7 linked regions of the Kluyveromyces lactis genome follow. The protein of the gene in region 3 interacts with the protein of the main gene of each other region in a pairwise test. Links are inferred from orthologs where the notes say so. Each region holds a gene or a part of one and is shown on either strand. Other genes may lie near its edges. The genes, in order: EDE1, PER33, SLA1, VRP1, KLLA0_A09757g, GTS1 and RRP7.

The links.
Region 1: the proteins of SLA1 (region 3) and EDE1 interact in a two-hybrid assay, tested with the Saccharomyces cerevisiae proteins (2 studies listed by BioGRID, with this or other methods). The link is inferred for Kluyveromyces lactis from reciprocal best matches to the Saccharomyces cerevisiae genes SLA1 and EDE1.
Region 2: the proteins of SLA1 (region 3) and PER33 interact in a two-hybrid assay, tested with the Saccharomyces cerevisiae proteins (2 studies listed by BioGRID). The link is inferred for Kluyveromyces lactis from reciprocal best matches to the Saccharomyces cerevisiae genes SLA1 and PER33.
Region 4: the proteins of SLA1 (region 3) and VRP1 interact in binary tests that used the Saccharomyces cerevisiae proteins (3 or more experiments, as listed by UniProt). The link is inferred for Kluyveromyces lactis from reciprocal best matches to the Saccharomyces cerevisiae genes SLA1 and VRP1.
Region 5: the proteins of SLA1 (region 3) and KLLA0_A09757g interact in a two-hybrid assay, tested with the Saccharomyces cerevisiae proteins (3 studies listed by BioGRID). The link is inferred for Kluyveromyces lactis from reciprocal best matches to the Saccharomyces cerevisiae genes SLA1 and HUA1.
Region 6: the proteins of SLA1 (region 3) and GTS1 interact in a two-hybrid assay, tested with the Saccharomyces cerevisiae proteins (2 studies listed by BioGRID, with this or other methods). The link is inferred for Kluyveromyces lactis from reciprocal best matches to the Saccharomyces cerevisiae genes SLA1 and GTS1.
Region 7: the proteins of SLA1 (region 3) and RRP7 interact in binary tests that used the Saccharomyces cerevisiae proteins (3 or more experiments, as listed by UniProt). The link is inferred for Kluyveromyces lactis from reciprocal best matches to the Saccharomyces cerevisiae genes SLA1 and RRP7.

The regions. Positions count from the first base shown.
Region 1 is NC_006041.1:512,950-518,188, reverse strand, and holds the start of EDE1 (Ede1p), read right to left. Parts: upstream 3,109-5,239; coding exon 1-3,108. Other genes in the region: KLLA0_E05765g (uncharacterized protein), read left to right, coding at 3,391-3,837; RSM7 (mitochondrial 37S ribosomal protein uS7m), read right to left, coding at 3,910-4,704. UniProt on the Saccharomyces cerevisiae protein: Functions at the internalization step of the clathrin-mediated endocytosis (CME) as an early-acting scaffold protein. Requires clathrin adapter proteins, ENT1/2 and YAP1801/2, for normal spatiotemporal dynamics and viability.
Region 2 is NC_006040.1:455,745-459,602, forward strand, and holds PER33 (Per33p), read left to right. Parts: upstream 1-2,127; coding exon 2,128-2,994; downstream 2,995-3,858. Other genes in the region: TUB2 (beta-tubulin), read right to left, coding at 1-866; Rab family GTPase YPT1, read left to right, coding at 3,752-3,858.
Region 3 is NC_006037.1:445,585-451,074, forward strand, and holds the start of SLA1 (cytoskeletal protein-binding protein SLA1), read right to left. Parts: upstream 3,204-5,490; coding exon 1-3,203. Other genes in the region: 2-hydroxy-palmitic acid dioxygenase MPO1, read right to left, coding at 4,006-4,527; SCL1 (proteasome core particle subunit alpha 1), read left to right, coding at 4,814-5,490. UniProt on the Saccharomyces cerevisiae protein: Component of the PAN1 actin cytoskeleton-regulatory complex required for the internalization of endosomes during actin-coupled endocytosis. The complex links the site of endocytosis to the cell membrane-associated actin cytoskeleton.
Region 4 is NC_006038.1:536,477-541,300, reverse strand, and holds VRP1 (Vrp1p), read right to left. Parts: upstream 2,763-4,824; coding exon 993-2,762; downstream 1-992. Other genes in the region: ERV1 (flavin-linked sulfhydryl oxidase), read left to right, coding at 215-297, 384-915; KLLA0_B05995g (heme-dependent oxidative N-demethylase family protein), read right to left, coding at 4,077-4,824. UniProt on the Saccharomyces cerevisiae protein: Involved in cytoskeletal organization and cellular growth. May exert its effects on the cytoskeleton directly, or indirectly via proline-binding proteins (e.g. profilin) or proteins possessing SH3 domains.
Region 5 is NC_006037.1:854,016-857,660, forward strand, and holds KLLA0_A09757g (uncharacterized protein), read right to left. Parts: upstream 1,985-3,645; coding exon 1,391-1,984; downstream 1-1,390. Other genes in the region: FOL2 (GTP cyclohydrolase I), read right to left, coding at 148-885; KLLA0_A09779g (uncharacterized protein), read right to left, coding at 2,538-2,993; GOT1 (Got1p), read left to right, coding at 3,464-3,491. UniProt on the Saccharomyces cerevisiae protein: May be involved in assembly and disassembly of the actin cytoskeleton.
Region 6 is NC_006039.1:1,495,191-1,499,546, forward strand, and holds GTS1 (Gts1p), read left to right. Parts: upstream 1-2,054; coding exon 2,055-3,206; downstream 3,207-4,356. Other genes in the region: COM2 (Com2p), read left to right, coding at 1-335; MND1 (Mnd1p), read right to left, coding at 689-1,366; serine/threonine protein kinase ATG1, read left to right, coding at 3,769-4,356. UniProt on the Saccharomyces cerevisiae protein: Appears to modulate the timing of budding to obtain an appropriate cell size independent of the DNA replication cycle. Transcription factor involved in both heat resistance and flocculation.
Region 7 is NC_006039.1:105,663-109,502, forward strand, and holds RRP7 (Rrp7p), read right to left. Parts: upstream 2,224-3,840; coding exon 1,243-2,223; downstream 1-1,242. Other genes in the region: STE50 (Ste50p), read left to right, coding at 150-1,037; SDH7 (Sdh7p), read right to left, coding at 2,430-2,819; HIS4 (trifunctional histidinol dehydrogenase/phosphoribosyl-AMP cyclohydrolase/phosphoribosyl-ATP diphosphatase), read right to left, coding at 3,134-3,840. UniProt on the Saccharomyces cerevisiae protein: Plays an important role in the synthesis of 18S rRNA but is not required for the 5.8S and 25S pathway. Is necessary for the cleavage at site A2. Is required for efficient association of RPS27 with the pre-ribosomal particle.

The sequences.
Region 1 (5,239 bases), on a different chromosome or scaffold from region 3:
TAAAATTGGTGTCTTCTTGATCGAGTCAGCATCGGAATCTGATATTTGATCCTTTTCTAACGTAGAACCAGTAGACCATCCACCTGGTAATGGTTCATCAGTAGAAGCTGGTTGTACAGTTTCACTCCCTTGTTTAGTAATATCATTGTTTTCAGCATCTTCCAGCTGTTGATCAATGTCTAGGACAGCGTTTTCCTTTGGCTCACTCTCGACTTCGTCTCTAACTGATTGAGGTGGATTGTTGGCTGTCGACGATGTGACAGATTCTGTTCTAGGGATGCCGTATTCGTTTAAACTTCCTTCGAAAGAATCTGCCATCGCTTCGGCAGCAACTTCATCATTACCCTGCTGGTCATGTAATTGCTGCTCGCTTAATTGATCATCTTCTAATTGTTGATTTTGTTCTTCGTCAGGTTCAGTTTGTGAGACAGGAGTTGGAACATCTTTGTCGAAAACACTTTCTGGTTTTTCCTCCTCCTCAGCTGGCTGGGCAGTCTGAATTTGCAGTCTTTTTTGAATCAATTCGTTTGTATACTCATCATCAGGGGTTTCTCCCATGGCTAACTTCATTTGATTCTCAGAGAATTTTTGGACTCTATCGGCATAGTCATACTGTTGCTTCTCAAACTCTGCATTTGCTGCTTCAAACTCCGACTTCCTTTTATTCAAATCATTAAATAGTTCTTGCAACCTCGATACTTGATCACGGTATAGTTGTTCCTGCTTTTCTATCTCTGCTGTTCTGGATTGAACTTCCAATTCACGTGCATGTACTTCTTCAGAAGTTGCAAGGTATTGCTTATGTTTGTTTTCCATCTCAGCGTGCTGAGCCTCAATAGTAGCTTTGTAGTCATCCAATTCTTTGTGCTTTGATAAGTAGATACCAAGGGTTTGTTCAAGACTTTGAATTTCTGTTTGAAGATTGTTGGCAGTCATCTCTGAAAGTTCTAACTGCTTGGCATGAATATCGACTCTGGATCTTTCAGCTTTAGCATTCTCTTGAACTTCAGCCAACTGTTGCTGTAACTGAGAGGACAAAGTGTTAAACTGGGCCAACCTCTCCTTTAACTGCCTTTCCTCTTCTTGAGCTTGTTGCAACTGTGTTTGCAAATCCTCGTTCTGAGTCTGCACAGCATGATAATTTGCCTCTGCAACAGAAGCTTGTTGACTTAACTCTTCGTTTTGTGCACGAAGAGCGTTCAATTGCGTCTGTATCTCCTCCGTTTGACGAACTTCTTCATTGTAAGACGCACGCAAACCAATGAGTTTAGTCTCGATCGATGCCTTCATGTTAGTTATACGAGTAAGTTCATTCTGAGCAGCTGTTTTCTCTTCATGAACTTTCGTAGCTTGTGTCGTTAATGAACTCACCTGAGTGGAGAGATTTGCAAGTTCAGTAGTGGCCTGAGAAAGCGATGCCGGTGGCACAATTTCACGATTGTTAGAAGTGACTTCCCTCGAAGGGACAGAAACACCTCCAAAGTTTGGAACACTTGGTAACGAAGAATTACGTGCAGTGGGTGGTGGAGGAGGAGCTGCAGAGCCTACGTGTGTAGGAGCAGTTTGCATATACTGCTGCTGCTGCTGCTGCTGCTGTTGTTGTTGTTGCTGGTCGTTACCACCTTCTTCAGGGATAATGGTTTGTCCAAATGTAGATGAAGGTCTAAATTTCCTAGCATTTGGTGCCAAATGTGTTGAAGGCTGAGCCGATGATTGTGGCTGGGAAGGAAGAGATGGAGGCGGAGGAGTGAATGATTCATTTAGACCAAGCAAGTCATCCAGAGCGCTATTACTGGTTTTCTGAGCTTGAACCGGAGCTGCAAAATTTTGGTAATTTTGACCAGCATCTCCGGTGCTTGCTACACTAATGCGCTGTTGTTGTTGTTGTTGTTGTTGTTGATGGTACAAACCTAAAGCTGGCGAATTTAATAATTGATCAGGAACAACATCTGGCAATTCGATCCCGGCATTCTTCTTCTGAATTAAAAACATTGCAATCGCAAATTCAACCTTAGTGAAAACTGGACTGTTATGAATATCAGCAAGATCCCACACAGTTGCTAAGACATCCTGTCCCAATTTCGATGTCAAAAAAAATGGAACTAAGACGTTAGAACCTAAGGAACCCTTTTTCTCTTTATCCAAAGAATCGAAAATAGCGTCAAACTGCTGCTTTTTTTCAAGAGTCAAGGTCCAATCTGTTGCAGCATTAGAAAAAGTACCGGATGGAAGTCTGGACAAAGAAGGTTTTCTGATAATTCCCGGATTTCTGACAACAGATCCACTGCCAGATGTGAAAGAGAAGCCTGTGTTATTGGCGCTCAGTGGAGTCAGAGTAGAAGATGCTGTACTATTCAAAGAATTCCACAAATAATTTGGCAAAGTAGAAGGTAAGTTTTGAACGGCTGCGTTTTGCTGTAGTGTTAGCTGAATCAAATGCATCGCCATAACAAACTCCACTTTATCCAAGCTTCCGCTATTGCTCCTGTCACACAACCCCCAAATAGTACCTAGAGTTTGAGTTGGTAACTTTGCTTTAAGGAAGATTTCTCTTGCTTTATTACCAGCTAGGAAACCGCTTTCTTCCGTTGATCTGTCAAATAATTGGGCAAACTTGGCATAATCATGAGGAGTGCATACAGGAATGACGGAATAAGTTGGCGACGAACCCGTATTAGTTCTGCTCACCGATCTATTGATAACAGAGGGGACTCTCTGGACAGAATGAGACTGATTTGATGGTGGTGGGATAGATGGTTGTGTAGAAGCAGAGTTGAACTTTTGACTTTGTCCGAATGAAGGGAGCTTCGAAGCAGGAGTCTGATACAATTCTAAAGTAACTTGCGCACCTGGATTTTCCTGTAAGTGCGCAACCATTCTTAGAGCGGCGTTAAATTGATCAACAGTTAAGAAGCCCGCGTTTTCGGTATCGCAAATGGTCCATATTTGCGACAACTGTTGCGGAGTTAACCCTGATTGACTAAACAAAGGTCTTAAAGCTTCTCCAGTCACAATTCCCAATTGTTCTCTATCTAACCGAGAAAAGTGCTGGGAAAATGCTTGCTTTTCCTCACTAGTGAGGGGTACACGGAACGCAATACCTGACATGGTTCCCAGAGGCGTGGTGGATGTGTATCTGTTGCAGTTTATCGGCTATATTTCACGAAAGGGGTTTCGACCATTTGATCCAATTTGTCGTTATTCAATTATCTCAAAAAGATGATGAAACTATATAATCGTGCAAGATGACTTTCGGATCGCATAAAGAAGTGAAGCATTGATGTAGGATTAAGGTTTCCAATGCGATGAGAGAGTTGAGTTTATCACTTCATTTAGAAATTGTGTAGAGTGTATGCAACTCTTATTGAGAGTTTTTATGAAAATTGATAAATGATAAGATATAAATACGCAGTAACATTTTTCTCGAGTGTATGTTTTGTTGTCTTCCTCGGATTAACTACTGATGCCAGGTTAAAGCTAATAACATCAACTCATGATAAGCTCGCCCATTGCATAGTATTTTGCATTGAAACCGTTCTGTTTACCATGATGTTTGAATGTGATACCGTACAGTTGCCGGCATTCATCCCCAAAAGACTACGATCAAGGAATTTGGCTGCGTACGAACCTTTTTCCATGAACAAATATCTATTGGCATTTATTGTATGCTGCGTATGTGCCAGTACGAGCAGTGAATTTGCACAACAGTTCCTCTCACGAGGAAAAAGGTCCTTTGATGTAAACGATATTTTGGCCAATTTTTCGGGAAGTCTGCTGGGCCTAGGAATTGCATATAAGATAGAGCAACAAATTCAGCATAACTATGAAAATCGATAACGTTCATTTATATTTCACGTATACATATGTACAGGTTTATTCAAGTAAATACAGTGGAGGTTGGAACTTTGATCATTTTAGGTTAATGTAAGCTCTGTGTGCAATAGCAGTCTTATGAATAGAGTCTCTCTTTTCGAAACCTGAACTATTACCGTTGAAGACAGATACCAATTCTTCACCAAGTCTTACTGAGAAATCGCTCGATGATCTCTTCACAGAACTTTCCACAATCCATTTCCAAGCTAATCTAAACCTTTGTCTTTGATTCAATGGAACTGGAACCACAGTGGCCTTTGCGACACCAGTCTTGAAGGTCTTGATAACCATAAGAGGCGCCAACACATCCAAGGATTCTTTCAAAACTTTTACCGGGTCTTTCCTTGTTTGACAGAACACAATATATAACGCTCTTGAAAGAATCTTCTCAGCTCTTTCTCTTTTCCCGTGTCTCATAATCATATTCGTTACATGCTGTAAAACTGGATCCTGTTTTTTTGGAATGGGAACTTGCTTCAACGTTTCCCATTCATTTATTTGCTCTTGACTTGGCTCAAAGCTGGGCTTGTTCAATTCCATAGCCTTCTCCAAGATATTAATTCTAGATTGGTTACCTGGTGCAAGGGACGTAGCTGGGTTATAATCTTGTTGCGAAAACTCTTCTTCTAACGATCCAATAACTTTCAACCATTCATCAACCTGTTCGTCGCTAAGGCTAGCTAATTTCTCCCCTGTAGACGCATTATTATTCACAGATTGACTTTGGAATCTGGTTTGCATGGTCGGTATACTGGCAGCATGTACAAGTGGACTTCTTGCCAAAACGTTAGCATGGACGTGACTCAGACTAAACCTTCCTGCTCTCAACATACTGTACAATTTCCGTTGAATAGATGCCAGTGTACACAAGGACCACACAAGGACACACACAATACAACCAGAACCTATTCAATCTAAGAGTAACTCTCATTAGATCCAAATTCAAGCTTACTTCACCAGAATATGATGATATTGAATTTGGTTTGAAAATCGTAAATTTTTTTGATCAAAGGTTCAGAGATGAGCCAGTGTGAACAGTGTTACCCGCATAAATACACGTGACTACTAATGATCTGTTTCTATGTGCCGTTGGTAGTTTTGCCTGTCAGTGCATTGAGCACAAGCTTGCCAAGAATAATTAATGATATTATATAGACTGTACCTTATTAGACACCTTAGCCTTTAATATTATAGTAAAGATGTCGTTGATCTATTTTGTATTCAGGTATGTAACTATAGTATCTTTAGAACTTCCGTACTTAAGTGTTAAAATTCCTGCCGTTCTTAAGTGAAATCCTTTAAATAATATCACATTTCGTTACGTGAAAAGTTGGTGAAATTTGTTATATGCGCACAATATTATGTG
Region 2 (3,858 bases), on a different chromosome or scaffold from region 3:
AATTCTGATACAGATAGGGATCTGAAAGATTGGGCACCAATCGAGGTTAATGGAGCATAACCAACCATGAAGAAGTGTAATCTTGGGAAGGGCACCAAATTCACGGCCAATTTTCTTAGATCTGAGTTCAATTGACCTGGGTAACGTAGGGATGTAGTGACACCAGACATGACACTTGAAACTAAATGGTTCAAGTTCGCATAATCTGGTTGTGGTAATTTTAGAGTAGTTTGACATATATCGTAAAGGGCTTCATTATCGATACAGAAAGTTTCATCAGCGTGTTCGACTAATTGGTGTACAGATAGAGTGGCATTGTATGGTTCTACAACGGTATCTGAAGTCTTTGGGGATGGGACAACGGAGAAAGTAGCCATCATTCTGTCAGGGAATTCTTCTCTGATCTTAGAGATCAACAAAGTACCCATACCAGAACCGGTACCACCACCAAGGGAATGGGCGATTTGGAAACCTTGCAAAGAGTCACAACCTTCAGCTTCACGTCTGACAACGTCCATGACAGAATCCACCAATTCAGCACCCTCAGTGTAATGACCTTTAGCCCACACGTTACCTGCTGAAGATTGACCGAAAATGTAGTTATCTGGTCTGAACAAAGTACCAATCTTAGAGTTACGTACAGCATCAATGGTACCAGGTTCCAAATCAATGTTAACGGATCTTGGAACCCATTTACCAGAAGAGGCTTCGTTAAAGTAAACGTTCAATCTAGCCTTTTGAATATCATCGATACCGTGATAGTTACCTTCAAAATCCAAACCGTGTTCACCACAAATAGTTTCCCAAAACGCAGCACCAATTTGGTTACCACATTGACCTGTGGACAAATGAATGATCTCTCTCATGTTTTAGAATATCTCTGAGCGCGTTATTGATCTGATCTCAAAAAATGACAATTGAAGAAACACAGCACAGGCAAATTGTAGAAAGACTTGGTGTTGATACAATCGAGGGGTATCTATAATCCAGTAATTGTTGATCCTTGTTCTTTCAAGAAAAAAAAATAATTATGCGATCTCTCTGTCCTTTACAAGAAAAAAGTGAAATATAATATGGGTAAAAATAGTAGTCTTGTCCACAGTATATTAAACAAACAAACTAACAAATCGAAATAGACGAGTTCTCACAGCTGTTATCTATAAAGTTATCTCTAACCCGTGCAAGCCTGTTCACAATCACGTCTGTGTTCACTTATTTAACCACTTTAAATTGTTTATTTATTTGTTTTTATTTGTTTATTTTTTTCCTCCTTCTCTTTCCTCATATCTTTGTTTGTATTTTGATCTTTGTTTCACTTCTTTAGGCAATTTTCGAGCACGTCTATTTCCCTTTGTGGGTTGCTAAGTGTGCGGGTAATACGGGAAACGGAAACTTACATCGCGTGATTTGCACGTGACTGTGATGTGTGAATTCCTGCGTAGTGTCAGTTCATCTAAAGACAAGAGTTGAGGTTGCAAGTGAGCAACACATTCCCCTAAGATTTAGAATAGTTGTCGAAGTGTTCCATGAGTCCAAAGACTGAACAGACTATTTTCTCGGATCATTTTCTTCACAGCTGACTTTCCGTATATGATAGAATCATACGGAAACTGGAATACTGCAATTTTCCCTAACTTTCGATTCTAGCTGACATTTAAAGACGATGTGAAAATTTAAAGAGAAACGGATTTCAGGATTAGGAAATTTAAAGAGGGAAAAAACGTCCAGTACAGTTTGTTAAGAGAAGGAAACCTATTAGTTGGAGAAGCGAAAGAGGGTTTGACTAGTTGGAATTGATCTGTCCAGTGCTACATTTTTATGTATATAGTAATCGGAAGGTTACTTTGATTAAGCTACGGTATTCTATTTCGAACCGAATCGAATCGGATCAGGTTAGCAGGTCTCTTTTTTTTTTTTTTTTCTTATATTTTTGGCTATCAATTGATTAACTGATTGTGTATTGAAGACGAAAGCTGTTTACATATTTAGCTTTTCAAGGTGTTTTTGTCATCGTTGATTGTGAACTCTTAACTTAGCGGCTCAATAGCAGTTGATTATCTCGTCTCCAAAAGAACTTTCGTGAGTTAGTTACTAAGGTTTCATTTTAAAGGTTTTCTTTTCAAGAAGATGTCTGAGGGAAGTGGCAATGGCAGTGGTAATCGTTATTCCAATGCTGCCGGTCAAAATGGAGGCAACAGGCCTGCTCAGAGACCTGTAGCCCCTCTGAGTGCTGTGTTCCGTACGAAGTTGAAACAGCCTCAGTTCTATTGGTTCCTTGGTCACACGTTATGCTTATACTATTATATCCAATATATGCTCTCATTCCGAGAACAAAGTGTAAAGACAAATTACAGGAAGATCATGCTATACACAGTGATCAGTTATGGGATTGTGCTTCACCAATATGTGAAATCAAAACAGTTAAGATTCCAGTGGTCGAATTTAAAACAGCAGATCAGACAGTTGGATAACCTACAATATTTTACACTTTCCATTGTTCTTTTGATATGTTCTCTATCAGGAGGGAAAACTTTAACTCAAACTGAATCATCTATGGTTATATACTCTTTGTTCCATGCATTGAATTATTTCAAAGAGAATGTATTGCCATTCATTCCAATGAACCCCATGTTAAAAGGTTCATTGTCAAATAAAATCTCGTATTTCATCACCAATTTCAACGGGTCTTTCTTCCATGCTGCAGTGATGTCAGAACTTGTAACGATGTGCAAAGTGTGTCTCATGCTGCCCATACAGTTAATCTCTGTGCTTATCACATTCAATGCCAAGAGTTTATTCACACTTCTATCAATCTGGGCATACGCTATATTCTTTAAGTTAAGATACAATCAAAGTGAACAAATGAGGTTGCTATGTAACCAGAACCAAATGATGATTGAAAACTTCATCTCAACTCGTTTGCCTATGTTCATGGACAAATGGTTAGGCATTAAACATTTGGCTAAAGTCTTCTTTGATAGAATCCTTGCTTGAAAACGCTAGAACCAGTTAGAAACTCGAAACTTAAGTTCATTCATAGAGTCTTCCTGCAAGTTAGTCAGTAGAGCATCTAGATATACACATGCATACATATATATGTATCTTAACTTAGAAAAAACTCATCCAAGCAAAGATTCTTGCATTCGCATCTTACATCCTGTGAGATTTTGTAGAGTTTCACATCTCCCCTAAAGATTACTACGAATCATTCCTATCAGTTACCTGAACTTTGTAATGTCTTCATCCATTTCATTACTTGTCCGAAATAGTTCAGTGTAGTGTAACAGGTTCATTACTGATCTATATCAACAACACTGTGTATTTCTGTGTCACGTGATGGTAATCTTTTGTGGAATCTTTTCCGTTCAGGAGAACAAAATTCAAACAGTGAAACCTGGACCGAAATACATTCTATTAAGCAACAATAGCATAGTTTCAGTTATTCCAAATGCGGTTTGATAAGACGCTTGCTTTTTTTCTGGTTACTGTTGCATATTTACTGAAAGCTTAACTAAAGGATAGACTTTTATTTTGGGGTTGTTATCATATTTTATCTTATACTTCCTTTACTCATTTTCTTTAACGGAGAGATATTAACAACGAGGGATACAGAAAGGTGTGTTTAAAATAGAGAAATATTGTAAACTTACAACGCAGTCCATCCAATCACAACTTACAAAAGGAGCCCATATTTTTTAACAAACAGTCGAATCGTATCAGTCGCTATAAACTACAAGCAAACAAAGAAAAAATGAATACCGAATACGATTATTTGTTCAAATTATTGTTGATTGGTGATTCCGGTGTTGGTAAATCTTGTTTATTGTTAAGATTTGCCGATGATACCTATACCAACGA
Region 3 (5,490 bases):
GCCGGCTGTATATTCGCACCTCCTGTGAATTGGTTTCCGAAAGTGGTAGCAGGTTGTAGATTAGCACCTCCAGTAAATTGGTTTCCAAAAGTGGTGGAAGGCAGCAAATTAGCACCTCCAGTTAATTGATTACCAAATGTGTTAGTTGATTGCAATGGCATTGCACCGGGCATTTGCGTGTTGAAGGAAGTAGGAGGTAAGGCACCACCAGTCCTTTGTAAAGGCATTGCGCCTCCTGTGATACTTGAACCAAAGGTTGTAGCGGGGAATGCTGTTTGGGGTTGTACACCAAACGTCGTTTGTGGCATCAACCCTCCAGTGTTCGCTGGTATCAAACCGTTCGCAGTCTTTTGAACTGGCAAGACAGTACCTGTTGGTTGCATACCAAACGTTGTTTGAGGTGCAATCATACCTCCAGTCCTTTGCAGAGGTACTAGCCCCCCAGTCGGTTGGAATGGCATTAAACCGCCTGTTGCTACTGGCATCATAATGAATCCCCCTGTAGTAATAGGGATTAGATTATTACCACCAGTTTTGAATGGATCTAATGGAACCAAAGAAGTACCCGTCTTATTTGCTGACAGAGGGGTTTCTTCCTTTTTATTCGAACCGTTAGTGGTGACAGATTCTAGATGCTTGACATCTGGAGCTGGTGTTTCTTTCTTCTTCGGCTCTAAAGGTTGCAAATCAAGCAAATCTTGAAGTGACCCAGAGAAATCCTGAGCCTTGTTGGAGCTGTCGCTGGCTTTAGCAGCAGGTCTAACAGTCCATGCATCATCATCTCTATTCGATGAATTACTATCTGGTAATAGATTATGAGATACGCCTGCAGATGCGGGAGCACCTGTATGGTTAACCTTCAAGGATCCATCGGCTTCAGTAAACAATCCAGTTGATGGAGAAGCCTCCTTTGTTCTGCCAAACTTGTTATCTAGATACTTCATTACTCTTAAAATGTCACCTTCACGTAGACCTAAGTTTCTTAATAAAGAAGGCTCGATATCTGGCAAGATTTCTTCACTAATTTGCTCTCTTTCGAAATTAATGGTGTAGCGTTGACAATTGTTGACATCAACACCAGCATTCAAGAAAAATTCGAACCAATCGTATTCGGGATTCTTGGAGCTCTTTGTGACAGGGTGCGTTTTGCTTGCTTCACTGCCTGGTCTTGGTGGTTTCACAGGTGGCAGTTCTTTGTCTTGTGCACTCCTCAGCTTTTCTCTTTCGCTTTCCAAGAGATCTCTAGCCCTCTTTAACTCTTTAAGTTCTTGCTCTCTTAATTGTCTATCACGTTCTCTTTCTTCAAGTTCCCGTTCACGCTCCTTAGCCTTTCTTCTTCTTTCACGTTCTGCGTTTACTGCACTACTGTCATTATTTGAACTCTTGGGTTTATGTTTGAATTTCTCCATAGACATACCCGTCAATCTTTCCACATACAAAATATCATCTTCGGACAATTTGTCTGCAGCAACAGCAATTTTCACACCGTTCACCTTATGTAAGTTAACCTTCCCATCGACACAGCCCAAAAACTGTGCTTCAACTTTGAAAGTACCACTTCTGTCTACCCAAATTCTAACCTTTTTAGGATCAGGGAACTCTTTATCATCAGTTTTCTTCTTCTTGGAGAAAAAGCTCGAAGTTTTAGACTTTTTCTTCGATACATCTTGATCAGCATCCTCTTTCCAGCTGCCAACTAAATTTTGAGTAAAGTTAGAAGTGTTAGATCTGGATCTGGTCTTAGACTTACTCCTAGAAGGGCTTTCATCAGAAGGCCTTGATGAGCCTGATCCGCGTGTTTCGACAAATTGTGCGGGGACAATGCCTCTTTTACCTGTTTCTACAGATTCACACATATACCAGTCTTTCGAAGTCCTGTCATCTAAGATATTAATGTAGTCGCCTTCTTTAACGGTGAGTTCATCAGGAGAGTTAGCGAAAAAGTCATATACAGCTTTAGCTCTTTTCTTGGTCATGGCAGGCCTTGAAGCAGCTTCAACTTCACGTAACCCAACTGCTGTCTGGGCACCTTTAATCTCACCCAAGACGCCCATGATCTCGTTAGCCAGATCGTTAGAGCCAGTATGCAATTCCAAGTTAATGTAAGGGTTTTTAAATTCAAGAAATAGATGCTTTTTTTCATTGTTATAGTTGATCAAATCTTTAACTGCCCATTCTTGATCCACTTTTGTCTTTGCAGAGAAGAAATGAATACGTTCAGCAGAAACAGTCAACGTAGCTTTACATTTCTTACGACCATCAACCTCACTAACAGACCAAACATGTTCAGCGGTCGAGGCTGAAGGTCTTCCATTTCTAGATGGCAGTGGAGGTTGATCTTCCTCATCGTCATCGAAATCGTAATCACGCTCATCATCTGAATAATCTCTAGTTATTTGGGAAGTTCTATTATTGTCTCTTGGGTCATCACGATAACTTGTTTGGTGTTCAGTATTAGAAGGTCTTTGAGGCATTGCTGGAGGTTCTGCTACTGCTGACTCACGCTGGACTTCTGTGGTTGCCGTATCGTTTCTCTTTGGAGGTGGAGGGAGCAGTGAAACATCAACTGGCATAGTTGTATGAGACGCAACGCCTGCATTTGATGCTGGTGGTGGTGTCGATGTAGATGGAGCTCCTGGAGCATCTGCTGTACTTGCAGCGCCAGCAGGGGTAGATCCGCTTCTGAATGATGGTTGAGAATTGACTCTGTCCAACCTCTGAGGTGGAGCTGGAAGTTCAGAAAGGGGTAGAACAGCTGGGGCTTGGTGCTTAGACTGTGTAACTCCTGCAGCGGGACCTCCAGCTTGCTGCGATTGTTTTTCCACGTAATTACCTGGCACAAACCCAACCTCTGAATTCTTGGTATTCTTCACCAAGAACCAATCTGCATCCCTATCGTCATACAATTGGAACGTATCGTTTTCATGGAATACCAATTCCTCATTGGCATTCTGAACTTGTTCATAATCGTAAAGCGCAACTACACTCCCAATCACTGGAGCCTCTTCAATATATGTCTTGGGGACCAAACCTACGGGTTCATCCTGATCAGATCCGATAACTCTCTTCTTAACGGTCCACCAATCATCAATGCTAGATTTTTCTAAAAGATACAATAGATCACCCTCTTTGACAGTTAGTTCCTCATCTGTTTGCGCAGAATAATCGTAAAGCGCCTGGTAAACACCCAAAAACACCGTCATTGTAGGTATTTAAATGCGTCAGGAGCCAAGTAAAAGGACCTATAAGCTTCCAGATTGTATACAAGGCCAAGAGGATCCCTATACAAATCGCCAATCAAATTTAATTATCCAAACTAAATTGAAATCAAAAACTAAAAGAATGCAGGAATACGAGACACTTCCTTTTTGTCGTCTCTTTTCGGTATTATGCTATTTCCTTTTATTTCTCCGTTTTGATTGGTTTTTTTTTTTCTCTTTTGCACAATTGCAATGCAACTCGCGCACTCTATCTAAACCTCAAGAGTTTGTCTGGCCTTTCTAACCCAATTCAAGCTAAAACTTGTTTATACGAATTACTTATATATGTATAGACATATATATATTTATATATGTTCTAAGTATATTGATAGACTTATTCAATTATTTTGGGCCTAATCTTTTCTCATTTTCTGATTCTCTCATTTTCACTCAGAAAAAGAACAAATGAAAATACCGACAGCACGCAGCACCGGTTCCTGGCAGTGTGGTACAAGAACCTGCAGTTTTCGAATTGTTTTTCTGTGATCCTTTGGTTACCCGGGGTTGTGTTTCGTACATGATGATACGGTGATCCCGGATCTGGAAATAAAAAGGGGTTCTTGCCCAGTTCTAGTCATGTGACTGCGAATCGCAGAGATCTGATAGAAAGAAGAAAAAAAAGAGATCATTTCTATATCACGTGATTGATGTTTCAATTCCATCATGGGTTCAAGTATCGTTATTGTCATCATCATAGAAGTCATAAATAGAGCATATATACTGTTTAGGCGAACGGAGGTTAAGTTTATTTACTCGCTCTCATACGATCTAGCTCTTTGTCAACACGAGCTTGTAGATTCTTCTTAAGTTCAGGCATGAACCCTAAAATAAATAGTAATTCGTAAAGGATGAAGTATGGCGCTAGCACAAGACTTTGCACCAAGTTATCGAGAAGCGCAGGTTTGCGCTTCTCGAAAACACCGTGGCCAATGAACTGGAAGATCCAACTGATCACAAATAATATCCAGGCAGTGGTCTGTGTCATCTTAATAGTCCCGTCGTTCAAAAATTTGCACGTCAGTGCCAATATCAACGACGCAAGGATTCCGGTACCTACTCGTAACAGTATATAGAACAACCCAAATGACAACGCTAACAAATGAGTCAAGGTATAGCCATTCCAGATCTTAACGTCGTTCAATATACGCATGGATGTAAAGAGAATCGTTGGGACAAAAATGCTATGAATTAACACATTCCCAGTATTGTTATGATAAGCTTTGTAGAACGCTAGTTGCGTCTCTAGATCTAGAAGACTGGGACTCATTCTGAGACTTGGTAGCGCAAAACCGTAACACGGATGCTTTGCTTGTGTTTTTTGATGTTGCTGTTTTTTTTCTTATTGATTGCATTATCTCAGTTGTCTTCCCCTTCCTTAATATTTCATTTCAATTTTAACTCTAATTTCAACTTTTAAATAATTTTGGTGGCAAACACATCAACGCACTACAGTTACCTTTACCAAGATATACGAAGAACCTGGCAACTCATTGATCTTCCTGTAACTACTGAATCTCAATCGTCAATTGGGAATCCCTATAACCACATATCCTATGTCTGCTGCAGGTTACGATCGTCACATTACTATTTTCTCTCCAGAAGGTCGTCTTTACCAAGTCGAGTATGCCTTCAAAGCGGCCAATCAACCTAATCTAAACTCAATAGCCATCAGGTCCAAGACCGCCTCTGTGGTAATTAGCCAGAAGAAAGTCCCAGATAAGCTTTTAGATCCTAAGACGGTTAGCTATATTTTCCCAGTGGCAAGACATATCGGGTTCTGTGCCACAGGACCGGTTCCAGATGCCAGAAATATTGCATTGAGATGTAAAGCCGAAGCTAGTGAGTTTCGTTATAAATATGGGTATGATATCCCATGCTCCGTACTAGCTAAAAGAATGGCCAATTTGTCGCAAATATACACACAAAGAGCTTACATGAGACCATTAGGGATTATTTTGACTTTTATTTCGTACGATGAGGAAACAGGACCTGCTATTTTCAAATGTGACCCTGCTGGTTACTATACGGGGTACAAGGCTACTGCCACTGGCCCAAAACAGCAGGAGTTGAACTCTGCTTTGGAGAAGCATTTCAAGAAGTTAAAGGACGATAAAATCGATGAGGAAAGTTGGGAAAAAACCGTTGAGTTCGGTATCACTACCCTAATTGACTCATTAGGAACAGATTTCAGCAAAAATGATCTAGAAGTTGGTGTAGCGATTAAGGATAA
Region 4 (4,824 bases), on a different chromosome or scaffold from region 3:
TTTCAAGAAGGGTTATAGCTGTAATCTCATACATGTACTGAAATTTTTCTTTGTTATCATCCAATGTTATCTTCTATCTCATCGCTTCATAAATTTGATCTGAATTTAAAGATTTCGATTTCAATGCATCTCTCGAATGCTTACAAATTTAGAGAATAGAATTCATAAAGATGCAAGCATACGACCAAATCTTTCCAACCAACCTGCATGAATCATGTCAAGCCGTACTGAAACTTCTAAAACACCAGAATTTGGACTGTCTGGAAGAAAAATCATCTACGATGAAGATGGAAAACCGTTCGTATTTTGCAACCCTAATATCGAGAAACGAAATAATCGAATTTCAGAAAACTTTTACTAACGTTTATGTACTATCAATCTAGCTGTCGTTCATGCAATACTTTGTTGGACTTTCAATTTGTGACCGGCACTTTGAAGGCTCGGGGAAGCGGCAATTCTTCTGCTTCACCAGTGGCGGATTCCACTCAGTCTCCTGGCTCCGGTGAATTAGCAGCTGGGGCCGCGACAGATATTTCAAATACTTCAGCTGACCAGCCACTGTTGATTCCTGGATCTAAGACATACTCTAAGTCTGGGCCTGCTGATGTCGAAGAGCTAGGCCGTTCTTCTTGGACTTTGTTACATACGATAGCTGCCAAGTATCCGAATAAGCCATCGGACACACAGAAACAAGAAATGAAACAATTTATGACCATATTCTCTCATGTTTATCCATGCGGGTGGTGTGCTAAGGACTTTGAACTATTTATAAAAGAGAACGCACCCAAGGTTGATTCAAAAGACGACTTAGGTAGATGGATTTGTGCGGCACATAATGAAGTTAATGAGAAATTGGGAAAGGAGAAATTCAACTGCGATTTGTGGAAGAAAAGGTGGGTAGATGGGTGGGATTAAGTGTTATACTTCTTCCTCTTCCACTCGTCTAGGAATGCTTTCATTAATATCTTATATAGTTCTTACTCATTATAAAGTCATGTAAATACAGTAAAATCTAATGGAACACTTGAACCTCTGCCACTTGGATATAGTTTTCTTAAGCCCAAGAATTGTCTCGGTTTGGGGAGATCGTTTCTGTTAGACCAATCGAATTTTGAATCATCAATGGTTATTCCACTGTTATTCAGCTTTATTCCGGTCGTATCTTGACTTCCTTCTATTGTGAAATCTCCGACATCTATTTCAGCAGCATTTGTGTAAGGGTTAGTAGATTGAGATGGTCGACTGGCTTCATTACCAGATGAAAAAAGTCTGTGTTTGAAGAAACCTTTTGATGAGGAACTATTTGTGCGTTCCACTTGAGGTTGCTGATTTTGTTGAAGAGATTCCTCTGAGGCTGCGGGTGGAGGTGGTGGAGCTTTGGCAGAGGGAAATGAAGCGGCTTGTGGAGGAGGGGAAGGAGGAGCCGTTGGCGCACCCACTGGTGTATGACTATTCTCACTTTCGATAATGTGAGAATCATCCCTTCTGCTTTGTATTGATGCCAGAAATGGTAATCCTCCGGCTGGAATAGATGGTGCTTCAGAACTTGGGGTAGATTGAGGCAGCGTAGGTGCATTAAAGGAAGGAGTAGGTGGGGCCGGAGGGGCAGGAGGGGCAGGAGGTGCAGGAGGTGCAGGAGCCGGTGGGGCCGGAGGAGCAGCAATTGAAGGTGGAGCAGCAGGAGCTGGAGTTGGTGGAACCGAAGGAGCACTGAACGAAGGAGGAGCCGGAGGAGCAGATGATGAGGGAAGCGGTACCTTTGGAGCGGAAGATGCTGTATTATTCGACGCACCATGTCCTGTTCCTTCAACTACGAATCTGTCATCTCTCTTTCGTTGAATCTCCGCCAGGAATGGAAGTCCTCCAGCTGGGGACGGTGCAGATGGTGGTGGTTGCGGCGTGGACGTTGGGAATGATATGCTTGGAGGTGCAGGTGGGGCTGCAGGAGGGGTACTGATTATGGGAGGTGCTGGAGGTGCTGGAGCTGGAGGTGCAGATGTAGGAGGTGCAGGCGTAGGAGGTGCTGGTGGGGCCGCAGGAGGGGTGCTAATTGTGGGAGGTGCTAGAGGTACTGGAGGTGCCGGAGCTGGTGGCACGGCTATAGGAGGAGCTGGAGGTGCAGGTGGTAACGTTACAGGCGGAGCAGGTTGTGCTTGAACCGGAGGTGCTTCTGTGCGTTGTCTTGCTGGAGGATGTTTCGGAACCGGTGGTGTGTTCATCATGGGTACTGGTGGCGGACTTGTTGGAATTGCCGGTGCTGCCATTGGAGGAGGAGCAGGAGGAGCCGCCACTGACGAATCACCCTCACTTCTCAAAGTCTTTTTACGCTGTGGTCTATTAGAAGGAATTTTTGGGATTGAAGAGCTATCCGGAAGCGGAGGAGCTCCAGATGGAATAGCTGGTGATTTAGAGGAACCCGAAACATGTTTTAATTTAGGGATCCCACCAGCAAGTATATCTCCCAATTGAGGGACACCGGGAAGCTGAGTTGGAGTCGGGATCGATGGTGCTACAGGCGGGACTGCTGAGCTCGATACTGATACAGAGTGGCTCATCGAACTTGATCCTCCAATCGCAGGTGCACTCTTATCCACAGTGTGTGCTTTCTTAAGTTTTGCACCTTTCCTAATATCACTCAATAAGGCATCACGTCCTGGAACAGCCGCTGGGGGTGGGACAGGAGTTGCAGCGGAGCCAGCATTGGATGAATTTCCGCCAAACATAGGCGGAGGAGGTGCTGGTGGTGGAGGTGGACCAGCCATATTATTCTAATTTCTATGTTCAGCAAGTTATCTATAACAAAGTATGCTCAAATCCTTAAGTCTTATAGAACTTTTAGCGGAAACACACTGGTCAATTGGTATCGCTATGATTCTTTTCGAATAACTACCTTAAACGCAGTGGACCCCTATGCACTGCAACAGTTTGTTTCTCTCTGATTTGACGTTTCTTTCATTTTTAAATAGCTAATTGATATCTGGAAGCCTCAAGGATACCCGGACACTACACTTTCCACCCAGACACTACACTTTCAGTTCGGTGCTAAATCAATAATCAAGAAGAATACGGCAATGCAAGACGATTCTATGATACTACTACAGTACGAAGTTCACTGGACCTCTTCATGATTTCGCGGTAGCATCGGCATGTAGTAACTAAATGAGGAACATCGTTTTAGTGGAGTGCCATTCCCAGTTACCAGCCCTATACGAATAATTTACCAATATAATATATTCGGGTAACATTTTGGTATTGGACCTTGTCTTAAAAAAGTTTTCAAAGGCGATCAAGCATCTTAACAACTTACTATGTGAAGAAGGTACTGAAATCTATATATCATGTACACTATCTATAGCTAGTACCACCACCATCGGGGATTGGATTAAAAATTGAGCTAATATATTCCACAGCAAGATGTAATACGTTGTCAATTCTTTGTTTTGTTAGTGACAGGTGTCCTAACGCGAAGTAATGCATTTTCTGTCGTCGTTCTTTTAACTTAGCTAATGGAATCCGTCCTCATAGTATATAGATTTTAAGTGGCATCTTCGAAGATCCGTGCGCAGTTTTTCTTTCAGTGGTGCATGGATTCAAAGCGATGCCCAAATTGAAGATAAATTCACAGCTTCTTGCTGTGTGTTTCCCTCGTTTCTGTGGATTTTCCTCTGTTGAATGCTAAAAAACATCATCACGAATTTTCACGAATGGTTTTGGATGCATAAATAGCGTCCTTTACCCAGGAAACTGGGGCACATCTCTAAATCGTATGGTATTTTGTGATTCGAACCTTGGTTACCCAAAAAGCCTTATAATTTAGTCTCGGAAATGAACTTCTTGCACATGGTTTCGTATTCCAGACTTGTGAGGGAATGTCTTCTCAATCTTTCATAAAAATATCTATTCCGCGATAGTTTAATGGTTAGAATTCGCGCTTGTCGCGTGCGAGATCGGGGTTCAATTCCCCGTCGCGGAGAAGCTTTTTTATTTTTTCGTCACTGCATTCACATTCGACTCAAGCTCTATTAACAACACTCGTTAATTTAAGAGTATCTGTCAATATTGTTCGTTAAAGTTATTTACAACTTTCTATGTAATGCTGATTCAAGCATTTCAAGCAATGCTGGCCCCCACTCGGGTTTACGCTTGTATTGTCCAATTGAATCTTGCATTCCTTTCACTGCGTCACATAAATCCTGAATAACACCTTCCTGTGAATAGTAATCGTTTGCTAAGAACTCATCTTGCAAGTTCCATAGATACGTCTTGATAGAAAAACACATTGATTTTGAGTTTTCTAATTTGATTAGACATTGTCTTTCAGATCTGTAATGCAAATCATGACCTCCATGCATCTCTTCTAAAGTTTTCGGACGAATTTCCTCTTCCTCTGTACCCTTATTATCATCTGTGACAAACAGTTTGGAATGTGTTTGGAACGAGAAGTTTATCCTCATCACTAATTTTCCGGGTTTGTGAGTTTGGAAGAATTTATTCATTTGCGTCTGTAATTTTTGCTTATATTCTGGAACAGGTCCATGGATTTGTGTCATGGGTTTGAGGAATCGTTGACGAGGATTGAACCCTGCTGCAAATGCAAAACATCCCGAAATCATTATATATTCGTTATTATATTGGCCGTTAGCATTTGGAGACAACAGTACTAAATCTTCTTCAACCATTCTTTGTACCGCCAAAATCAACTCGTGAGCTCTCTTCGTCTTTTCTGTGGTTACTATGGCAATTCTTCCAACCTCATCAAATAGGTTTGATGGATCCTTCAACTCTTCTGGTATGATGTCTATGTTACAACACCGGTATTTCAAG
Region 5 (3,645 bases), about 410 kb from region 3:
TATTGGATGTTCTATTATCTTTCCATTCCTCTTGCTGTTGAAACAATTAAAAAACCGGTATCGTATTGTATCTCTTATGCTTGTAGATAATCAAAGTCAAAAAAAAATTTTTAAAGGTAGCTTAAAACCAGGTCTAATGATGAATCATCAGTACCTTCTGCCCAAAAGGTTTAAGAATTCTTCTCTTGTCTTGTGTGATTCTCGCAAGTATCCCAACATACAAGAAGTGACAGTGGAAGAACCAGTTTTTTGGACACCACGAGACACCATACACATATGAGTAGCCTCGATGACCACAGCGACACCTCTAGGTTTCAAGATATCACTCAAAGCCATAGCAATTTGCTTCGTTAAACGTTCTTGTACTTGGAAACGTCTAGCGTACATCTCTGCTAAACGAGCCAATTTCGATAAACCCAACACCTTCTTATTAGGAATGTATCCAATATGAACTTTACCGAAAAATGGCACCAAATGATGCTCGCACAAAGAGAAGATCTCAATGTCACGAACAATAACCATCTCGTCATGATCTTCCTCGAACACAGCATTCTTAATCACATCGTTCATGATATTATCCTGATAGCCTTTAGTGAAATACAACATCGCTTTAGCGTACCGTGTAGGGGTATCCAGTAAACCCTCACGTTCGGTATCCTCACCGAGCTCACTCAAAATAGTCTTAACCGCATCTGCAATACGACCAACCCGTTTTTGTTCTTCTTCATCCGTTTCCTCTGCTCTTTCACGAGCACCAATACTAGGCCATGATAAACCGTCTTTTTCCACAGTAGGATTTAAGGTATAAGGCGAAGCTGGACGAATGTTCAAAGGAGTAGCACGTCTTTCAATCTGAGAGACGTGCGAGATATGTTTGTTTTCCATTATTGAATATAGCTAGCTGTATGGGTTACCTGATATGGGTTACTAATCCATGCAAAAGAAAGACCCTATAAATATGTGATACTGGTCAGACAACGGGACTTGTTGAGAGAAGCCGACAGAAGGAGACACGTACGCACAAACTAACACACAAAACGACAAACTTTCACTGAATTATCCAATCAGTTAAAGCTTGAAAGAGCCAACCCAAAATCGAAAACTTTACAATGGAACAAATGCATATGGTACGCTTTATACCTCTTGTTTCCTATAACTCGAACTCATCGAAATTTTTCACTTTTTGTCATACAAGGAAAAAAAGTAAAACTGTGGAAACACCGTACCATGAGAAGCAGCAATTAGACATGACTAGTTACTCTATCATGTGCTACCTCAGCCAGTACCCTGCTATTGAATGTTGTTAATGGACAAACATGAAATGAATAGAAATTAATTATGTACAATTTTACTTAAACAGTGTAGAGTTTGGGCGAATCAGATGATCAAACTAGTAGGTTGGTCCAGTAAGAATCCTGCCAAGACCGTAGCATACGGGACACGGTTCTTTATCCAAGAAGAATCGTACCCTACCAGTCCCATTGCAATTGTTACACATCATGCCTCCTATGCGACTGTCACCGGGACGCACAACGATAGGTGCTGAGTTTATGACGAAATTCTGTGGTGGCATCGTGACATTAGAGTATACGAACGCAGGTCTTGGCCCTGCACTTGGACGTGGTGGTTGTGCAGGTGGGGGTTTGTAGAATTTCGACCAACATTTCTTACATTTTTGTTGAGTCTTGATCTTGGTGCCAGTGTTCCCGCATTTTTTACAATAATATCCTGGAGGGTACGTCCAGGGTAGTTTCTTATTGCCAGTACTGGTACTGGTACTGCTTGAAAAGGTACTAGTGGAATGATGGTACGCTGGTATGGCATTGCTTGGCCGGGGCGGTCTTGCTGGTGGTTGTGTTGGACGTGGTGGAGGGTTTGGTGGGAGCTGCTGCTGCTGCTGCGAAGCAGCAGCAGTATCTTGTCTCAGCACTTCATCATACGACGGAAGATGCTCATCTGGCTGTATATCTGATTCTGATTTCATTGAAGTATTCTCAAAGTGACTGGTTCTCTGATCTCTGTTCTTTACTGATCCCGATCCCGTTCTCCATACACTTTTCTTTGACTAAATATATGTCCCTTATATATCTTGATCTTTTATATATACGTGATTTATTTGGCAGATGCACCTAAAATGAGGAAACCCTATAGCACGACGGCTGCAATGTGGACGAATCCCGATCCTAAACTGGGCTTTTAGCCATTGATAACTACTGGATGCAGCCAGTGAGTAACTGCGGACTTACAGACAAGGGTCCACTCTTGCCAATGCTCCTACTAATGGTTCTAATGGGCATCAAAGTCAAAGCCTTGATCAGTTCATGTTACCCGGACCATATATACAAATATCCGGGTAACAAACTCATATCTCTGCTCTGGCGATCTCATACTACTGACAAAGGAATCTGTCATCAATCAACAGACACCTGAGAGAGACAAGCAACTTCATATGGTTAGGAGTATCTGACTATGGGCGTTGCAATGCTAATATAAATTAAATTATTTACCTGGGTGTACATGTTATGTAGAATCTCTTCCTAATCCGTTGCATGGGCGGCATGGCTGGCATGGCTGGCATTGCTGACATGTTTACCCAAATGCTTTACTACAGCTACACCTAAGAGCACAACTGTGAGTATAAGACCACGTCTTGCTGGAAACTGCCTTCTATTGAATCTTGACCAACATGTTCTACACCTGCGTTGCGTCCTGGTCTCTACACCGGTGTTCCCGCACCTTCTACAGTAATACCATGGAGGATACGTCCAGGGAAGCTGGTCGATATCAGTACCGGTATTGCAGCTACTGGTAGTGGTGGAATTGGTGGCATTATTTGGTATATCATTGGACGCATCATTTGATTCGTCATTTGGTTCATCATTTGGTTCATCATTTGATGCCTCTTGATGCCGAGAAGCACCGGTAGACGAACCTTGTCCGACTGCTTCGTCATACGACGGAAGAATACCTGATTGTTTAACTGACGCTGCCATTATAGAATGTTGGGTCACGTGCCTAACAGCCAACGGCTCCTTCCAACCTTTCTTCCATGCATCTAGTTAGACATCTGGCTTATGCGTGTCTTATATATCCATGACTCGTCTAGCAGATGAGTGAACCATCATATCCACGCAATAACATGCAAATCCACGGCTCTAAGGTGGAAAAAGGAACCCTAAATGGTGTATAGTAATGGTGGCTTCAAGGGTATAAACCATTGGACTTAATAGCAACGGCCGGTAAATTTGCTGATTCAAAGCCTCGAACGATTTTCGTTACCCGGAAAACACAATGACCGGGTAACACTTCACGTCTTTTCAGTCCAGAAGCCCAATCGCGAAAAGCGATGGGCTTCTGGACGAGCGCAGTAAATATGTGCACATTAACGCATCAAGATAGGCACTGTTTGCCTCTCTATATATGCTCATAGTATTTGATATACACGCAACAATAGCACATAACAATGAGTAGTTGGCTATCGGAGTCACAGCGTATGTTAAACCATGTATGCGTTTACTATTATTTTTGGTTTCCCTTTACTAACATTTGTTATTTGAGATCGGCCAGTAAACTCATGCGAACATAAGGGAAATAGAAAGACGGATTGTTCAATCCGTCTTTCTATCTCACTTTTGTTACAGTACT
Region 6 (4,356 bases), on a different chromosome or scaffold from region 3:
TGTCTCCTCCACCAATGGTACAGGTTAAGAAAGCGGAATCGTTATCATTGGCAAAAGTCATCTCGAGCAAGGATTCGATTTCAACGATAATAAAGAAACAACAAGGTGTGCCAAAGACAAGGGGACGGAAACCTTCGCCAATACTGGATGCTTCAAAACCATTCGGCTGTGAATACTGCGATCGTCGATTCAAAAGACAAGAGCATTTGAAAAGGCATATCAGGTCTTTGCATATCTGTGAGAAACCGTACGGTTGTCATCTTTGTGGGAAAAAATTCAGCAGAAGTGACAACTTAAGTCAACATTTGAAAACACATACACACGAGGACAAGTGACATTCTTCTTAATAGCGCTTATTTAGACTTTTCTGCCTTAACTTTAAACGATTTTTCACGCAGTATTTTGCGACATGATATGACCTCAAATAATGAAGAAAAAAAGTTCTAACGAGACTATTTATGATATGATATTGGGATTTCAGCATCTAAATGACATTCAAACTTCCTACTACACCTGACACTGATATCATATTTATCCCACCAACATTTTATGCCCTATACTATAATAATCAACTAAAATCACAAAAAAAAACTATAATTCTGAATATCAATCAGCTTATCAAGCAGTATATGAACATCGTATATGTATATATAGTATCCAATGTATCAACCCTGCTTACCTCTCGTTACTAAAGGTGACCCAACTTTTCAAGTATTGTTTCAAATTGATTGAATTCATTAGGAAGCTCCAACTCAACTTTCAAATCAGACATTTGAACACAATACGTAGATGAGATATGCCCAGTGATGCAATCAATGTTATCTGCAAGACCTACAGCAAAACTTGCCTTTTCAAACAAATTATGTTTCTCCTGTTTGATGCGCTGTGGAGTCCAGTTATTTTTGGATAATTCTTCATATTTGGAGTTCAATTCACGAATTGTCTTTTGAACCTCTTTCAATTTACTTAGCTGTGCACTTCTTTTCCAGCCGCGTCTATTCTTCAACGTATCACTCCTCTGGCCTTGAATTTCCTTCTGATACAATTCCTGACACCGAGCAATTTCACTTTTCTCATGCTCTATTCTTTTCTCTATGTTACTGGCGTCGCTATTCAACTTATTTTGCATCTGATTTTTGAAAGACCAATACACGTTAATGTTCCCACACTTTTCCACACTGATCAATCCATCTTCATCAATCATCTTTTGTACTAATACCTTCACTAACATGGAAGATATGCCACATTTCTTGGGGATATATTTCTCTAATTCCTTCATGTTGTATACGGTATGTTCTTCTTGGAAAAACCTTAGGATACGTGCTTTTTTCTCGGCAAGCGAAACGGTATTCTTACCTGGGGCCATGTTGAATTATTTGAACCTTTTAATAGACTTAATTGAAGCTGATGTCTTTGATGTGATGATGGTTCTTCTTCTGTTTGTTTTTAACCGCTGAACCTTGATAAAAATATATAAAAGAAGACGAAATGTCATTTTCCATGGGGAAATTTATAAACAGTAACATATTTTGGTGAAAGAAGTATCAGAATCGAGAGTAATTGAATCAATTCAGAGATGCCATATTAATAGCCATGGTTGCTTATAATTGGGGAGGCGGTTAGCTGCTATATACGAAACATTAAAATAGATCCTATTCTCCGGCTAAATGACAGACCACGTGAGAATAAACTCTCCTGAGGCAATATGATAGTACATAGCTTAAGCCTGTCTATCACGTCATTATTCAAAAGGTATCCAAGATGGTATATCGTACTGACTGCTTCCAATAGACTTACGTTTGTTGAACAAAAATAGCTCTTGAAATATTCTATGCGGTTGAAATTCCGAACAGGAACAGAAGTTCTATGAATGAACGAAGCATAAAATGGTGAAAGTGAAGAACGGATATTGAAAATAAAAAAAAATACTTCATATTATAAGATTATAAAGACCCAACGCTAGAATTACGTTTATATCAAATAGGGGTCCCAAATTGGACTAGTCGAGTTTAGGTAAGGTTTATTGAGGAGATACTGAAGCGAGGAAACCAAAAATGAGACGATCAAGAGGTGAATCTGTAGAACATGATTTAAAGTTTTTGCTTAACGCTGGTGAGAATTCAAATAAATGTGGTGAATGTGGGACACCATTCCCTACCTACTGTTCAGTGAACTTGGGTGTATTCTTGTGCGGTCGGTGTGCTTCCGTACATAGGAAAGTGTTAGGCAGCAGAGAAGATGGTGCTACTAGTATCGTGAAATCTTTATCTCTTGATAGATGGTCTAAGCGTGACGTTCAAACTGTTGCCGATCTTGGAGGAAACAAACATAACAGCAGTTTTTGGAACCCTAAGAAAGAACCTTTCCCATTTGACGGTGACGAGGATCGTACTGCCGTTGAAATGTTTATCAGGGATAAATATTTAAAGGGTAAGTTCAGACATACCGCTGTCAAGGTGGAAGATTTCAATCTAGAGGATGATTCGTCACAATTGGACTACAAGTCATCCCGCCCATCATCTGCGTCCGGGTCCAGAAGAAACCGTTCTGCCTCATCTGCCAGCAGTAGACCAAGATCAAGAGAAGGAGACAGACCTCCGCTTCCAAAAAGGCCGGACAACAAAGTGCAAGAAGCCGTTTTCGATGGAACAAGTGAACCAAGCCTACCTAGTACAGCATCGGCAGAACCTCGCCCAGCAGTATTCGATGGGGTACAACAATACTATGATCCAACTACCGGCCAAATTTATGTAGATCAAAACTCCTATGCGGCAATGCAGCAGGCCCAGGTACAAGCATTGGCACAACAAGTTCAACCTCAGTTTACACAACAGGTTCAACCTCAGTTTACACAACAAGTGCAACCCCAATTCACACAGCAATTACAACCTCAGTTCACCCAACAGGTACAGCCTCAATTCACTGCTCAACCATCGATAGATAAGAACACACTATTATCACTGTATCAAAGACCAGATTTATATTCTAGTGCCGTAGAAATCAAACCGGATAATCCACAATACCAACAGATCCTGAATCTCCAAAAACAACAGCAGGACCAACAACAGCAGCAACAGCAACTGCTACAACAACAGCAGCTACAACAGCAGCAACAGCAACAGCTCCTGCAGCAACAACAGTTACAACAAATGCAATACCAACAACCACAACAGTACCAACAACAATTCTACCCCCCATTCCAATAGATCATCATCCCTTGGCCTTCTTTGCAGCTGCAGCTGCAACTGCACATCTGCTACCGCACTACGGTTTAATCTCTCATACCTATGTTTGCCTATATAATACGTAAATATGGCTAAAACCAAAACACCGCTACAACTAATATCTAACTTTGTCTTCCTCCTCTGACGTTTCACAACGTCTGCTATACACTCTTATCCGGAACATCCACGATCTACTTACTACCTAGCTATCACCACTATTATCTTACTGACCATCAAAAAAAAAACCTCCCATTGACTCATAACCAATCATATCTTATTTGCACTTAACGAGCGTTTTCTTAAAACCGTTCCACCAAGCACCAGTGTCTTTCCACTGCCTTTACTGTGTACGTTTTCTGCGATATATCTGTCTTTCCTTCTTTGTTTCTTTATTTCTATATAAAGTTCAAAATGACTTATTACAAACTAAGTTTTGATCCTTAAAAACCATTTATAAGAAATAAGAACGCCCCCCCTTGTAAAGAAAGAGGCCAAAGAATGACAACGGTCTGGCACTGAGTAGTCATATGGAAAGCGGTTGAGCATGAGTTCAGAATCGCACGACAAAGTTGTGGCGAAAGCCATTCGTTTGCCGACAGAAAACTATTCCGTGGAGAAGGAGATCGGTAAGGGTTCATTCGCGGTTGTTTACAAAGGTCTATCGTTAAGAGATGGGAGAAACATAGCTATCAAGGCCGTGTCGAGGTCGAAGCTAAAGAACAAGAAGCTTTTGGAGAATTTGGAGGTCGAAATTGCCATTTTAAAGAAGATCAAACATCCGCATATTGTGGGGTTAATAGATTGTGAGCGGACTTCATCTGATTTCTATTTGATCATGGAATACTGTGCACTAGGTGATTTAACGTTTTTCATAAAGAAGAGGAAGAACCTAGTGCTCAAGCATCCTTTGATAAAGACTGTTTTTGAACATTACCCGCCACCAAGTACGGAACATAATGGATTAAATCGGGTTCTTGTGGTAAACTATTTACAACAACTATCCTCTGCGCTTAAGTTTTTGCGATCTAAGAATCTAGTACACAGAGATATCAAGCCACAGAATTTATTGTTATGCACACCGTTATTAGATTATAATGATCCGAAGACGTTTCATGAGTTGGGGTTTGTGGGA
Region 7 (3,840 bases), on a different chromosome or scaffold from region 3:
CCAGAAAGTTGATGAAAGGAGATCCGGGGAACAGCTCAGTCTGTGGAGCATATCATTGAGCCAACAGAAGCATATTGATCAGTGGCTAACCAGTGATTCAATTGTGTTTTTACATCTCTTAAGAACAGGCATAGAAACAAAAACAAATAATGAGCGGTACAAATGAATGGTCAACTGAGGAGGTTTGCAAGAAAGTCAAAGCAGAACTTGGATTAACGGACGGAGATACATTCATCCTAGATAGAATACGAGAGAACAAGATAACTGGATCTACGTTATCTGAAATCACACTTGCCGATTGCAAGGAGTTATGTCCTGATAGCATTAGTGCCGTGAGGCTTAAGACATGCATAAACAAATTTGTTGACACGGAAGAACAAGCACCGGAACAAGAATTAGTGTTGACTATGAAAGGCTTACACCAGACGTTAAATGAAAAGTTACAAGAATTCCAATCTAATTATGCGCAACTCAGATTGGATTTGTTGGAAATCGTGAAGAGGAACAGTGGATCTGGTTCAGGTTCCTCTCAGTCTTCTCAACAACTTCAACATCAACCTTCTTCGCAAGATTACTTCGATAGAGCTCCACACCATTCTTCACACACGCCATCATCACCCAAATACAGATCGAATTCCAATCCAGGGCTGCCACCACAATCTTCAAGCACCAGAAATGTTTCATCGTCACATATTGCCACCACACCCGGATCGGCGAATACTCCAGGCGGAGCTGGAGTATCATCAGCTCCAAGTTCAGAACCTATGAAACAATTACGTGCCTCAAAGGAGGATTCATGTGAAAAGGTTTTAAGAAATGCGATGAAGAGGCACAATTTGAATGAAACGGATTGGAGACAGCATGTTTTAGTGATATGCTATGGAGATCAAGAACGAGTTCTTGATCTCGATGAAAAACCAGTACAGATCTTCAAGTCTTTAAAACAACAAGGCCTGCATCCTGCAATTATGTTAAGACAAAAAGGTGACTTTGAGGAAGTGGGAGAAATGGCAGCAACACCGGGAGGTAGGCTATAATGTTTGTTATCTCCTCCTTCATCAACTGGAAAAAACACTTGGCAAGCAACCATAAACTTTCATTTTAGAGCTTTCATGAACGAATAATTGTATTGATAGATTAATTATCTCTTTCTATAAGAGTTACGTATGTTGTACAAAGACACATTCTCAACTATAGTAAATAACAAATAGAGCACCTTATCAGGAAAGTTTTCTCAAATAATTATGTGTACGGGTTGAACCTTCTTTTGGACTTCATCTCCTTTATCTTTTCTTGATCTTGCTTGAATTTGGCTAGCAACTCATTAATTTCCTGCTTCTTTCTTTCACGGACTTGGAATCTATAGAAGTCCTTCTTTGCCTTCTTGTCAACCATATTAGGCATCTTCTTAGGTTTCTCATGCTTTAATAATGGATTTCTGTTGAATATCTTTTTCCTTATGCTGTTTAATGATTTTGTATTCTTTCCTACTACTAATGTGAAACCATCTTCATCAACAATAGATGATTGTACTTCTTCTTGAGCTTGCTGTTCTCTTTGTTCGAAAAGAGCCATATGTTCATGTATATCCGTTTTCAAATATTTTAACGGTAATGGACGGTAGAATGCTGTGAATGTCTCGATTGATGGGGATTGAAATTCCCACAGTATCTGTTGTTGCTTCTTGCTAGAAGAGTATTTCCTTAGTGCTTCCCAACAGTTTTCTACGGACTGCTTATCCACAAACTGTAGTAATGCAGTATTTCTTGGCGTAAATCTTTTCTCACTAGGTTCATCAACACTCATTAAATGAGAAGTCAATGATGATAAGTCAACATCATGTAATCCGAACTCATCATGATAGAGTAGATCTTGCACATGCGAAACGGTTTCATTCTGATGACAGATCTCTTGGAAATTTTTCTTCAAGTTTTCGAGTTGTGTTAAAAGAGGTAGATTAACTAGGAATAAGCAGTGTTGTTCATTTTCCAGTTTTGATTGATGCTTTCTCACAAACATATAATGATATACTTTCGTCGGTTTCTGGTTTAAACTCTTTACTTGAGGTAGTAAAAACGGCACAATTAGGAAGCCATTTTGCATCTGTTCAAGAACCATTCTTTCGTATTGAAAGTGTGTGGAGAGGTATCTTGATCGGTGTATAACCCAAACAAATTCGTTGAAAGTTGTTGAAGCGAATTTCTTCAGCTCATCTCTTCTCATCACTTTACTAACTTTAAATCATAGTTTTCATTACACAACTACTAAATAGTGTCGAGAAGAAAATTTTCAATATAAGACGAAAGTCTTTTGAAGTCACGTGCAACAAAAAGTTGAGTATATAAACCCTTCTCCTCACCCACTACTTGAGAGAATTTGGAGGAAAGATATAATATTTGGGAAATGTCTGTCTTACAACCTTCCGAAGATCATTCACCACCTGATTTCAGCTGTTCAGCTTCTTTCATCAATTCGTACAACTGGGTAACTTGTTCTGGTGACATCTTTTCAAGCAGGTCAGTGGATAAAGTTCCTTCTTCCCATTCACCTCTTGTAATCATATGCAGATAATCCTGCCATGAGGCTAAGAATCCAACAATGTATAAGGGATTGTCAGTACTCTTATGCAACTTGAATTCATTCTTGACATATTGATCTCCCAACTCTCTCTGCATCGTTGGTAAGTTTCTGTGTTCTCTGAGGATTCTACGGTACAATTGTAACGGAGGCAAGAGCGGTTTGTGAGGTTTCCTCGAACCTAGCCGTCCCGCTCTAGTGGTCTGTTTGACAGCTTGCCTTAATAGATGGTTAACCTGCATGTTTAATGGGTTGCTGGTACGTTACGCGGAGTCACAGCTCTATATCATCAATTTATTCAACTCTAGCGATGATGATATGCGGTATCAAGCATTTTCATTAAGATTTCCATTGTTTTTGTATTTAGAAGTCACGTGAAGTAATATTTTGATACTTTGAATATGCAAATCTCTGGGGAAGTTTCATGCATTCAACGCGTGCTTCTGGAGTAAGCTTCTAAACAATTCGAATGGTTAAAGTTTATTCATTTCTATACAAACATAGCATTATTTTTCTTTTAGATATTAAATTCAAATCTTAATAAGTTAGTTCTATATTATTCAAAACCTGATGGTAGTAAGCCCAACTTTGACATCCTGATCTTGACTGCGTTTCTGTGAGCATCCAAGCCTTCGACTTTAGCAACACTCATCACAGCATGACCAATATGTTCTAAACCGACTGGGGTGACCACTTGAGAAGTGATAAACTTCTGGAAAGTGGCTGTGTTCACACCACTGTACTGCCTAGCATAACCATAGGTAGGTAATGTATGATTCGTACCACTAGAGTAATCACCACATGATTCTGGAGTATAAGCACCAACAAAAATGGAACCGGCGTGATCCACATCTTTGACATAGTCTTCGGCATTTGAAATTTGTAGAATCAAATGTTCAGGAGCATATTGGTTCGACATCTTGAAGGCTTCTTCGTAAGAATCACATAGAATGATTGAGCTGTGGGCGATACATTTACGAACAATATCAACTCTAGGTAGCTGCATAGCTTGTTCGTGAACAGCATTTTGTAAAGCTTCAATCTTCGAGTCAGATAACGAGACACCTACCAAAATAACTTGAGAGTCAATACCATGCTCAGCCTGTGATAGCAAATCCGATGCAACAAAGTCAACATCAGCTTCTTCATCACAAATGACCAAGACTTCACTTGGACCAGCTGGCATATCGATAGAACATAAAGCTTGAGTGTCGTTTTGAACATACATTTTTGCTGCGGTAACAAACTGGTTACCAGGGCCTA